Coturnix japonica: one gene and its partners. The protein of the gene in region 2 interacts with the protein of the main gene of each other region in a biochemical or structural test. Links are inferred from orthologs where the notes say so. Each region holds a gene or a part of one and is shown on either strand. Other genes may lie near its edges. The genes, in order: PRKN, PICK1 and GRM7.

The links.
Region 1: the proteins of PICK1 (region 2) and PRKN form a complex in vitro, tested with the Homo sapiens proteins (3 studies listed by BioGRID and IntAct, with this or other methods). The link is inferred for Coturnix japonica from reciprocal best matches to the Homo sapiens genes PICK1 and PRKN.
Region 3: the proteins of PICK1 (region 2) and GRM7 form a complex in vitro, tested with the Homo sapiens proteins (2 studies listed by BioGRID, with this or other methods). The link is inferred for Coturnix japonica from reciprocal best matches to the Homo sapiens genes PICK1 and GRM7.

Annotation. Positions count from the first base shown.
Region 1 is NC_029518.1:40,121,834-40,126,189, forward strand, and holds the start of PRKN (E3 ubiquitin-protein ligase parkin), read left to right. Parts: upstream 1-1,428; 5' UTR 1,429-1,539; coding exon 1,540-1,737; intron 1,738-4,356. UniProt on the Homo sapiens protein: Functions within a multiprotein E3 ubiquitin ligase complex, catalyzing the covalent attachment of ubiquitin moieties onto substrate proteins. Substrates include SYT11 and VDAC1.
Region 2 is NC_029516.1:46,560,663-46,564,910, forward strand, and holds the start of PICK1 (PRKCA-binding protein), read right to left. Parts: upstream 2,941-4,248; 5' UTR 2,853-2,940; intron 2,827-2,852; exon of another isoform or gene 2,697-2,826; intron 2,501-2,696; 5' UTR 2,449-2,500; coding exon 2,408-2,448; intron 139-2,407; coding exon 27-138; intron 1-26. UniProt on the Homo sapiens protein: Probable adapter protein that bind to and organize the subcellular localization of a variety of membrane proteins containing some PDZ recognition sequence.
Region 3 is NC_029527.1:16,361,673-16,365,318, forward strand, and holds part of GRM7 (metabotropic glutamate receptor 7), read left to right. Parts: intron 1-3,269; coding exon of another isoform or gene 3,270-3,308; exon of another isoform or gene 3,309-3,349; coding exon 3,350-3,646. UniProt on the Homo sapiens protein: G-protein coupled receptor activated by glutamate that regulates axon outgrowth through the MAPK-cAMP-PKA signaling pathway during neuronal development.

The DNA of each region.
Region 1 (4,356 bases), on a different chromosome or scaffold from region 2:
ATCCATATACAAGAATTGCACATTTCAGTTATTTCCAGAACATCTTTATATAGAAATCAAACCCAGTAACAAGATGTACTGCAGGAGACTCTGTAACACATTGTAGGCCGTATGTACTGCACTCCTCCTGACACGGTGTTATGTAATCCTATCCTGGTTTTTAGTAAATTTAGAGGATGTGCAAAACTCAAAATGTTGTGTAAAAAAATATATTGGTCTATGGCCTTAAAGATTATCCAGAAATAGCAAAATCTATATTAAAGGTGTAAAATTGCAAATATTTACAACGTTCATTGCTCAGCAAAAAATCGCCATCATTCTCAACTATATTCGCATGCTTTTAAAGCATTTGACTCCTTTACAGCAGTCAGGTACACTTTGTGTTTGGAAAATCATTGATCCTATTGTCAGTTTAAAAATAGATTTCCTCAAACTGTATGAGCACTTTTGAATTTATGCATCTGTCACTCATAAAAAATTCAAAGGAGTATGTCTTCAGTTAGAACATTGCAGTGGGAATGGGAAATCTTCAAGAGGGATGGTTATTGCAATCAATACCTAAACAGTTCAAATGTCAGGTAGCCAGTGACTAATTGATACAAATGATTTTATTGCTTTATATTACTTGCTAATTCCTTTGCTTTGTGCTAGTGGAACTGTTTATTGGCTGAAGCAGCCCACTGGGATTGAGTGTACTGTTTATGCAGCCTTAGTGACTGGTATGGATGTAGTCAAGCTTTTCTTGTTGCATAGTTCTTGTAGTCACTCCCCTGGTCAAGGGCTCAATGAGCACATTCAGCACCCTTGTGAAAAACAACACTGCCAGCTGAATGGCTGTAAGCTCATGAGTTTATTTGCCAGGCTTCTCAGGATATATAAACCACTCTCTGCAGCTCTAAAAATGATATGGCGAGTGCGGTAGTGATTTCCTGCACTGAAGGAACATGCCAGCAGGAGTTATGTACTGCAGATGTTTTAGTGAACTCTGAAAAGACCACAGTGTAATACAACACTCCCAAACATTTCTGCTAGCGTGTGATTTTTCTCTCCATCATTACCTTCCACAGAATTGTATCTGTGGGGAACCAATTTATGTGACCGTGCTCTGCAGTATAACAGTGAATTGTTTTGCTTAGTATTATTTAATGTAACTTAGCTCTAAAACTCAGTTTTCTGCATGCATTTGTTACGTGCAGCAGGAAAGAGCACAAGGGGCATAGAAAGTGTGTGTGTCCTGTGTCTGTTAAGGTCAGTTGTGGATCAGAGATTTGTTCCAGGACTTAGTGGTTGCCTGGACTGCTGGCTGGATGGGTCCCTTTTGGTTCTGATGTTTCTCTTCAATTTATAGCTCTGCTGGGGGAAGCACGTGGCTTTTGTTTATTAGTCACTAGCTATTCTGTGAAGGGAAATCCCATACAGTTCCTCTTTTCCAAATTATACACTACAGTATTAGTAGCTTTTCTCTTAAAACAGTCAGTGCTCTCTGAAATTGACAAATAAGCCACTTGTAGTCACTCTAGTACAGACCGGCAGTGAGAAATGTTTGCTTTAAAAGGTGTTTTCTCTTTTTCAGTGTTTGTCAGGTTCAACTCAAGCCATGGCTTCCCGGTGGAGCTTGGGTTGGAAGCCAGCATCCTCCAGCTGAAGGAGGCGGTTGCGCAGCGACAGGGAGTTCCAGCTGACCAGCTGCGGGTGATCTTTGCAGGGAGAGAGCTCAGCAACGACTTAACGCTGCAGGTAAGCCTCTGTGGTAGCTTTGCTCCTGGACTGCTGCCAGCTCTGCTGCCTCTGCCTCTAATGCTGCCAATCTGACATTCATTCCTGAGATCTAATAGAATAAATAGTGCCTGGGGATTCCTTGAACTTTACTCCACACTGCTTCATTAATTCTGACCTTCTTAATTATGCATTAAAACAGCAAGCAGGAAGGATAGGGAGAGCATATGAGTGAGAGAGTATGGGAGAGAGCTGTGCCTAGTGAATAAATGTTTACTGACTACAGAAGCAAGCCATGCACAATTTCTGTATCTGTTCAATTTTTATTTTACTTATTCCATTTGAATCTTAATGAAGAAGGATGTGAATAAATTGCTTCAGATCAGGCTGCACGGTCAGCACATTCTGTAGAATTTGTAACCCAATTGTGACCCCTGGAGGATAGCTACAGGGCTGCTGCTGCTGTTCTGAATGCTGCCGTGTGCCATACACAGGTGAACGCACTGCTGGAATGATGGTTCCAGTTCTAAAAAGCTCATGGAAGTGTGATCCAAACCACCAAGCTCATAAATGTGTGAAACTGAGAGCAGCAAGGAGTGTGGAAGAATGGCTATAAGTGGGTATCTGAATTTCAGTTTTTCAAGGTTAGGTAGCTGTTCAGTTCAATAAGTGCAGAATTGTTCATCTGTGATGAGCTGTAGTAAGCATGGAAATATAGGTTCAATTTTCTCTTCCTTGTACTCTTTACTACTCTTCCCAGTGCTGCCACAGTTGCTTTATCATTGTTTTTATTTATACTATGAGTAGTGAATGTGAATTTCAGAGTATGTTCAGGAAGGGGTTAGCATAAGATCATACATCTAAGACATGTAGGAACATAGGAAAACCTAAAGGCCTTTGAATAGAGTGCTCTTGAATTTACTGCCTTAATGAAACTGCTATCCTTCTGCAGTTGTATCAAAATAACAGACACAGTCTCTACTACTGCAGGTGATTATATAAAAGGTCCCTCACAGGCAGAAGTATTTCATGTTAATTAGCAGTCGTGTTTCAGAAGTATTTCTGTAATTAAAATGGATGCTAAGTCTGGGTACAGAAGGGTTACTACTGTATTAATGACCCGTCCTATTTCTCTGTGGTTAAGATACTCAATATTTTGCAAAGGATTTTAGTGTGTTTTAGGACAGAACACAATACAGAAATATGAACTGTTGTCAGTCCACAATGCATAACCTATAGATAGCATTGATGCATATATTTGTGATGTAAACTGCAGTGTATTTCACTTATATTTTTTCACATGTGAGAAGAAAAATAGTGGAAATTACCAGATACCAGTTGCTAGTTCTGGTTGTCTGTGTTATCCTGTCCTAAGCTTATGAACTCCTAGTGTTTCCTGAGCAGCTGTAGGTATTGGTGTTACTGCTATTTTATGTCACAGACATTGAATCATGTTTTTTGCCTTTAAAAAAAATTGCTGTCAGTTACAACATACAATGCTTTGCTGTGCAAATTAAAATGTGCTTTTTGGATATAGAAGCCTGCTGACTATTTGCTTAATTTATTTAATAGGAATGACAGAATTATCAAGTGTAGCCAAGTCTTACTAATAAACCGGATCTATGTTCATTGCTGTGACTTTCATTTTCTAAAGCATATAGGATGTAAAATGGCTATTTCAGGTGGCATAATCCATATTTGTGTATTTAAGTGCCTTACATAATCCAATGATTAATACCAACATGTCAACAAGATTTTTATTCCTGGTATTTAATTATTTTAATTGTTTTTATCTATTCATTGTAGAAATTGTCAACACAAGAAGAATGGTAGATGGTTTGATATATCTGACTTTTCCTACAGAAGGCAATTTGGGGCTTTTTGCATAAGCAGCTGAGTGCTAGTGAAATAGTAACTGCTGGCATTAATGTTGCATCTGTAATATCAGAGTTAACATCACATAGAAGAAAATTAATAACAGTTGTTTTCTGGACCTAATGATTTGCATGCAGATAAAATAAAACAAAACACAACATACATTTTTACATGGCTGAATCTTAGTTCTTGGTAGCTTAGAATTTCTAATTAGACCATTTTTTCCTTTTGTTTTTATAAATTACTTTTGTGCTTACTTACCCAGGATACTGTGGGAGAATTTAGAGATTTGGAATGAGCTGGGATAATCTTAGGAGTGTGGGGCAGGGATATAAGAAATATATCCCTGGATAACAAAGTTTACTGGTTTCACAGCTTGCAGAACTGCTAGATTTGGCTTGACAGCTACTTTGGGATCTCGTGCAGGTGATACAGAACACAACTGAAAATGTGAAAACTACATTTGTTTTCCTGTTCAGAGAGAATGGAAAAATCTTTCATGGTAGCTGAATACTGTAGAAGAGAAATGCATGCTGACTGGACAAATATTAGAGAGAAATAAGGATAAGGAAGAAAATGCCAACTTGAGATCTTTACATAAGTGAAAAATTTGAGAACAACAACAGTACAAAATATCTAGGAACGACAGGAGTGAAATATGTGTGGAGACATTTAATTTGGTAGCGCAGATTGGTGTTTTGTCCTTGAAAAAAGAGAAAGATTAGACAATGATTCAACTGTACACAAGGGAGATCAGTATCTCTG
Region 2 (4,248 bases):
TGTATTCTTCCTCCTCGGGTGCTCACCTGAACAATATAGAGACAGGGGCAGTACTGTGCTCCTCCCCCAATGCTGATCCCAATCAGGTTCTGGGAGTCCTTCTTCAGGGTCACTGTCCCAGGTACAGTGGGGATCCCTCTAGAATGAGAAAGGAGATGGATAGTGGAAAACTGAACATGGCAGACAGAGCTGTATCTGTACAACTGTGGTATCAGTGACGATAAAAACTGAACACATGATAGACATTGTACACTTTAATTAAGCACACTGTGCCACAGAGTCTATAAGCACAGGACAACACAGGAAGACACTCTGAGCTGTTGTTTTTGAGACTGCATGCACAGAGTGAAGGAGGGAGAGATGCAGAGGAAACACTGTTGCTTTAAACAGTGTTTGAGCTGCCTTTGTGTCAGAGTAAGAGATCAGTATGTGCAACAAAAACGAAACTCCATGCCAAAGAAACTGCTGATTTCATAAAACTTGTTCAAAAAACTCCAGTGCTCCTTACAAACCCATGGTCTCCAGAGGTTTTCTCCACTTATGGCTGCCTCGTACTGTCTTCCATTATAAACCTTTTTTTTTTTCTTCCCTCTAGCTAAGGTCACTAATTCACTGCTAGGACTACCTTGCAACAAGAAGCTCAGAGCAGTCCTTGGAGAGAGACAGCAATACTTCATCCCCATTCCCCAAGGTAGCAAGAAGTCAGGATTGAGCAGCGAGCCTGACCCTTCAGCGGGTCTTAGAATCAGAACTGTTGGTTGGAAACGAGCCTTAAAGGCCATCTGGACAAACCCCCTACAATGGAAAGAGACTCCTACATCTAGATCAGGATGCTCAGAGCCCCTCCAGCCTGACCTTGAATATCTCCAGGGATGAAGCATCCACACCCCCAGACAACCTGTTCCTTACTGGAACTCCACTAGACTTATTGGAAAGTAAGTCTACATACAGTCTAAATCTCTCTTCTAGTCTGAAACCATTTCTCCTTGTCCTATCACAAAGAAAAGAATCTGTCCCTTTTCTTCTTATAGTCTCCCTCTAGATACTGAGAGGCTGCTCTCTGGTCTCCCTGGAGCCTTCTCTTCTCCTGGCTGAACAACCCTAGCTCTCTCAACTTCCTCTCTCATAGGGCAGGTGTTCCATCCCTTTGGAACATCTCATTTTTGTGGCCCTCCTCTGCATGTGCTCTAACAGGTCTAACATGCCCACATCTCTCCTGTACTGAGGGTTCCACATTCAACTCAGTACTCTGGGAAAGGTCTCACAACACAGTGCAGAGGGGCAGGATCACCTCCCTCTCCCTAATGGCCACATTCCTTTGGGTGCAGCCCAGGACACAGTTGGCACTGTGGGCTGTGAGGGCACACTGCTGGCTCATGTCCAGCTGCCATCCATCAGTGTCCCCAAGTCCTTTTTGGTAGGGCCGTGCTCCATCCCCCAGCCTGTACTGGTAGTGGAAATTGCCACAGCCCAGGTACCACAGAATCACAGAATGACCCGAGTTGGAAGGGACCTCAAAGATCATGTAGTTCCAACCCCCCTGCCTGTCAGGGCCACCAAACATACACATTTACTACGTCAGGTTGCCCAGGCCCGTCCAACTGGCTTGAACACCTCCAAGGACGGGGCATCCACAACCTCCCTGGGCAGCCTGTTCCAGGACCTAACCACTCTCTAGTGAAGAACTTCCCCTAACATCCAACCTAAATCTTCCCTCTTTCAACTTAAAACCATTTCCCCTGTCCTGCTATTTCAGCCTTTCGAAGAGTTTCTCCCTCCTGGGGTAATTCCCTTCGGTAATGAAAGGCTGCAATGAGGTCACCGCAACCTTCTCTTCTCCAGGCTGACAAACCCAACTCCCTCAGCCTGTCCTCATAGGGGAGGTGCTCGGCCCCCTGATCATCTTTGTGGCCTCCTCTGGACCCTTTCCAAAATCTCCATGTCTTTTTGTACTGAGGGCTCCACACCTGGACACAGTACTCCAGATGGGGCCTCACAAGAGCAGAGAGGGACAATCACCTCCCTATCCCTGCTGGCCACCCCTCTCCTGATGGAGCCCAGGATCCCATTTGCTTTCCGGCTGCCAGAGCGCACTGCTGGCTCAGTTTGAGTCTTTGTCCATCAGGACCCCCAGGTCTTCTCTGCCGAGCTGCTCTCAAGGACCACTCCTCCCAGCCTGTACAGGTGCCTGGGGTTCTTCCAGCCCAAGTGCAAAACCTTACAATACCGATATGCAATACCAGACCTTGCACTTGGCCAAGTGAGGGGGTCCTTGGCCCACTGCTCAAGCCTGTCCAGGTCTCCCTGGGCCTTGTCAGCAACATGGAAATCTATCTGCTGCCATTTGTTTTGTTCTGTGAAGACTATTTCTATTGTCAGAAAAACAAAAGATGAGTGCCGTACTTACAGCTTATCCTCCTCAACATCATAATCCAAATCAGCAAACATCCTTTTCGCTAACTGGAACCTGACCGTCTGAAAGCACCTTCTTGTAAACTCCCTAGGAAGAAAGCACAGAGCAAAACCCCCGTAAGGCCGCGCTCTCTGCGGGTCACCAGGGCACCAACGTCAACTCCCACCCCATCTATTTCTGAATGACGAATGGTGCCCTGATAGAGGGCTGCAAGTAGGGACCAGGTGGCCGCACGCTCTGCTCCAGGCACAGCACCACACCCCGCGGCCCGCTCCCCGCTCACACAGCAGCCTTGTTCTGTTTCCTAAGCAACTGCCGTGCCCCCGATCCCTTATGTCCCGCAGCAGGCCCCGCTCTGTGCTCCCAGGCCCCGGCCCCGCTCGCTGCCCCGCGGCTCGGTCACACGCTGCCGCCGCTCGCCCCACATCAAAGCCGAGACCTTTAGAGGTGGCCGGGCCGACCCCGCCGCTGACGCGTCGCCGCCGGAGCCGACCGGAAGCGCGCAGCCAAAGCCCGCCCCCCTTCCTCTAGCGCCCGCGTTGCTACGGGGACGCTCCATCCGCCATCTTGAGAGTGGCGGGCTCAAGGATCATGTAGTTCCAACCCCCTGCCTGGCACAGGGCCACCAAACATACACCCTTTACTAGATCACGTTGCCGCAGGGCCCCGTCCACCCTGCCTTGAACACCTCCAAGGACGGGGCATCCACAACCTCCCTGGGCAGCCTGTTCAGTACCTACCCCTCTCCTAGTGAAGAACTTCCCCTAACATCCAACCTAAATCTTCCCTCTTTCAACTTAAAACCATTTCCCTAGTCCTGCTATTATCAGCCCTTCGAAGAGTTTACTCCCTCCTGGGAGTAAAGTTCCCTTCAGGTATTGTAAGGCTGCAATGAGGTCACCCCGCAACCTTCTCTAGGCTGAGAATTCATAGCAACACTGAATACTCTAAGTGCGAAGGGAGCCGTAGGGACCATCGGGCTCCATAAAGGACCACCTGAAAATCAGACCCTACGACTGAGAGCACTGGCTGAAAGCTCCTTAAACTCCAGGGCCTCCAAAGTTACACCAGCCGCCCAGCTGGGGTTCATTCCTAAGGCAGGAGCTCCTCCGTGTGGGCACCATCTAGAAGGCAGCGTGGCTGATGGGCTCCGCTTTTGTGCTTCCCCTCTGGTGTGTGTGTGTATTGAATATGGCCCTCACTTCATCCCGGAAGCATCCCTGAAGCCTTTGTACACGCGTGCTGGGTGACCCTGCCTTTTGTGTGCACTCAATCCGATGTGTTCGGGGTCAGTTGGATGGGCTCTGAATGAGATGGTGTGTGCCTTAGGGCTGTGTTTCTCAGTGCTAGAGATCCGGCAGATCACCTCATCCCGAGGGGGAAAAGGAATGAAAATGATCATCTGAAATAAAATCATCATCATCATAAAACATAGCACTCACTGCCTACCAGTATGCTTTGGATCAAGAGAGCTCAGCAAATACAAGGCTTTTATCCGCCTTTCGAGACTCAATACAGCAAAGTCAGGCCAGGCTCCGCCAGTCAAACTCTCTTCTGTTCATCTTTCATCACGTGTAATAAGGAGTCTGCAAGCAGATCACACGCTGCATGACTAGTTGGCTTCTTGGCACTCAGATGTATTTCCCTGCAGTGGGTCTCTGTTAAATCTCGTGTTTCTGGCTGCTTTTCTGCTACTGTTGTCAGCTTAGAGTCAACATGACTAACGCTGAGCTAACATCCTCCCCAGTCGCTGTCCTTCAAGCATGTTTTCTGTTCTGGGGGATAAGTATGGTGATTATGTTCTCGTTCTCAGGCCAACCCCTGCCTGGTACTTC
Region 3 (3,646 bases), on a different chromosome or scaffold from region 2:
ATCCTATTGGGGAAAGTAGCTATCTTTTTCCTGAGAAGGTTAATTATCAGTAACGTAATTATTTTTGTACTGACTTTTATTTTAATCAAACATTGCATGAAACAATTAGGTTCAGAACAAATAGCTTATTACAGAAATGTTTGTGGTGCTGCAAAAAGAAGCAGAGATGTTTAAATTATAGTCATGTATCAACTTTATTCATTAAAATGAACAATTATGCTAGGCCTTATGAGGCAGACTGAGTATTTCTTGCTGATGTTTATTCTGGGTGAGGCTGGAAAAGCCAATCCCTCAGTGCTGTGGGTCCCAAAACAGGAGATTGTACCAAAAAAAGGCAACATCTGTATTTATTGCAAGAGTACCTTCTCAAATTACTTACTTACCGCTTTCTAAGTTATAGGATTAGAGTTTTCAGGTAATTACTTTTTTTGTTATGGGATACATGTTTCTTATATTTACTTATAAATCTTCTATAAGTGCTTAGCACTCTTCATCCATCAGTCTAAGGAAAAAATGGCAGGTCTTTGTTTGTAAACATCACTGACAATACCTCCGGTTTCTGGATGGGGAAATGGAAGAAAATTGAAGGAAGGCCATGAAGAAGTGCCTGTCCTGCTTCTCATCTGCCATCCAGATTCTGACCAGCTGCAAATTAGGTGCCAATCTTGGGAGGGAAGGCTGCAGGCAGGACTGGCACTATGCCCAGGCTGCTGAGGGCAGAAGTGAAGACCAAAAGTGCTTGCTTTCATATGGACTGCTTAAAAATACTGCTTTTATCTGAACCTAACAGCAGCAGATCCCATGGTTTGCTGCTATTAGATTGTATCGAATGAAATGCTCTGCTGTTTTGTTTTCGTTGACAGTCCTATTACAGTAATTGTGGGCAAAAATTATCCTTGCTTTTTCATCAGGTCCTGATCCTGAAACTCTGAACTTGGCAAAATCTGGAAGTAAGTCGTTTCCAGCTCAAAGAGGCCAGAAGTACTGGGGGGAAAATGTCATTAAATAGAAGAAGGTTTATAGATTTAAGTAAATAAAAGAAGGGACTGAATGTAACAATTCCTCAACACAATAGAAGTCATTTCTAGATTCAGGTTTTCAAAAGCCTGTTTCAAAGAAACCGCAGTAAAGGCTGGGAATAGGAGAATAGAATGTATGTTAGGTACAGCCATGAGCTCCCAGGGCTCCCAATACACAGCTGGACAGTTTGTTGCTTTTGTTTACACTTCTGAATGCAGTTATGAAGCAGTAATTTATGACAAAGATGGTAAAACGCTTCAAAAATACTTTGTGTGTGTTTGTGGGGAAAGCATCTCCAGTTTGGATCAGACTCTCTGCTCCCAGCGCCTTCCTCGGTGGCAGGTGGTTTATCTGACAGCAGTTTTCATTATTAATTTTCTAGCCAGAAGCAACAGAGCACCGTGAGCCTTTCTGAGGGCAGTGATACAGAGTTATCATGGCGTGGTCCCAGCAGACCAGAAAAGAACTTTCCATAATTTCGCCTGATCTCCTATTTATCTCCTCACACCGGTATCTGTGCAGAAGGAGATACCTTCAGGCTGTTCCCACTATCTGGCAGTGCACAGGATACTTTGGAGAATATGGAAATTCTCCTTTTTCTGGGTCTGGAGGCGTAGGGGGATGTGATGATGCATTAATAACTCTGTGGTTCTCTGAGCTGTGTAGAAAATTGGTGAGAACCCTTTCGTGGCTGTAGGCTGGGTCAAAATGTGTGCAGGTGGATGCTTTCCTCGTTTCATATCAATGCACGCCATAAAACCAGCATCAAGTAAATTCTGTGGTTAGTAGCTGTGATAGCAAATGGGGGCTCCAGCCTGGGCTGGCATGCCGCTCTGTGGCTGTTCCAGCACTGGTAAGGGGTAGTTGCCCTGCCTTAGCTTTCTTCTTTCCAGACAGGCAAGACAGAAAGCAGTGATAAGGAGGAATCATTCTTCAGCTTCTGTAAGCTGCAAGCCTTCAGCTCAACGCGGCATAAAGGAAGAGTTCCTGGGTCTTTTTTTCTTTCAGAATAAGCAGTGAATATTGAAGGTTAATGAAGTTTCTCGAGCAGTGGCAGACCTCTCAAATATCTGTTATTGAGGGATTATTTCTGTAACGTTGGCAGCAGACTCTCAATAGTATAATATTTGAGCAGTCTGTGGCTTTGGTGTTTTTTTCAGATATATGAAACAAAGTTGGTGCAGGGTCTATTTGGAATTAAATTAGGAGGGTGCGCCTTAATCCTTCAGTTTAAGACATTCTGACCCCAGTCTTCCTGCACACATCAATAATCACAGACAGCTGATTCCAGCAGCTCACCTTAAATTCCCTCAGTTGTAGGAAATATTGGAGCGTGTAAACACTGAAGAACCTAAATTATTAGCTGCAGTGTTGTTTTAGTTGGGCTTACTCACATCTGCCACAGCAGATCAGGTAGTGCATTCGTAAAAGCCGTGCACACACACATGTGCTGCAGGTCGAGGAGTCTGAAGCTCTTCTGTGTGGCTGAGCTGGACCTGCTGCCATGAGTCAGTGCTGGCTGTCAGGACCTCCCCGTGGTCCCAGAATGGGTTATTGCAGGGGAGCAACAGTGCTGACCCTCCTGGGTTCTTAGCATCTGGTCAGTGGCTTTAGTCTGGAATATCTAGAAATGATTTGTGACTCCAATTTTGTGCAGTATTTTGAGCACATACTTGGAGTTCAGGATTCTTCAGACTACAGAACAAATGAGATGTTCCATTTACTTAATACTGTCATTGATAATTTGCATTCCCAGGAGCATGCATGCATGGTATTTCAAATCTGGATGTGACTTTGAAATGAAATATTATCTAATTACACTGTTTTTCACTGATGACAGTTTTCTTTGTACCTCATATTTCTTACACAGCTCTCATCCCATTCTCACCAGTTCCAGCCCCTGTGTACATTTCCACCTTGTTCAGAGGGTTCCCCTGTAGCAGTTGTTCCAGGAGGGCAGAATACTTGCTGTGGTCTTGCTGAGGTGCACAAAAGGCAGTCTCACAGTGTGGTTGTTGCTTTCCCATAAGCCAAATCAAGTGCTCTCACTGATTTTCATGCAGCAAGAAGGGTTTCCACACTGCTGTTTTATCTGGCGCTGTGTCATTCTACCCAAATTTATTGCTAATAAACGTGAAAAAATGGCTGTAGTAAATAGTCTTGGGTTAGAGTCCCATATAAAGGCACTGGTGTGCAGTCTGGAAGAGCACAGTCGTCCACATATAATGTTTTCCATTTGTTTGTTGCAGTGTGCTGCCCCGTGGTCCCCCTGCCCAGCCCGGTGGTAACACCCACATAACAGCCTCCTTCTGCTTCACATGTCTCCTAGATCGACGACATGCAGTGGGGTAAAGGAGTGCGAGAAGTCCCGTCCTCAGTCTGCAGCCTGCCTTGCAAGCCCGGGGAGAGAAAGAAGATGGTGAAGGGGATCCCCTGCTGCTGGCACTGCGAGCTGTGCGATGGATACCAGTACCAGGCTGATGAGGTCACCTGCCTGCTGTGCTCCTACAACGAGCGGCCCAACGAGAACCGCACCGGCTGCCGCTCCATCCCCATCGTTAAGCTGGAGTGGCACTCGCCCTGGGCTGTGATCCCCGTCTTCTTGGCCATGCTCGGGATTATCGCC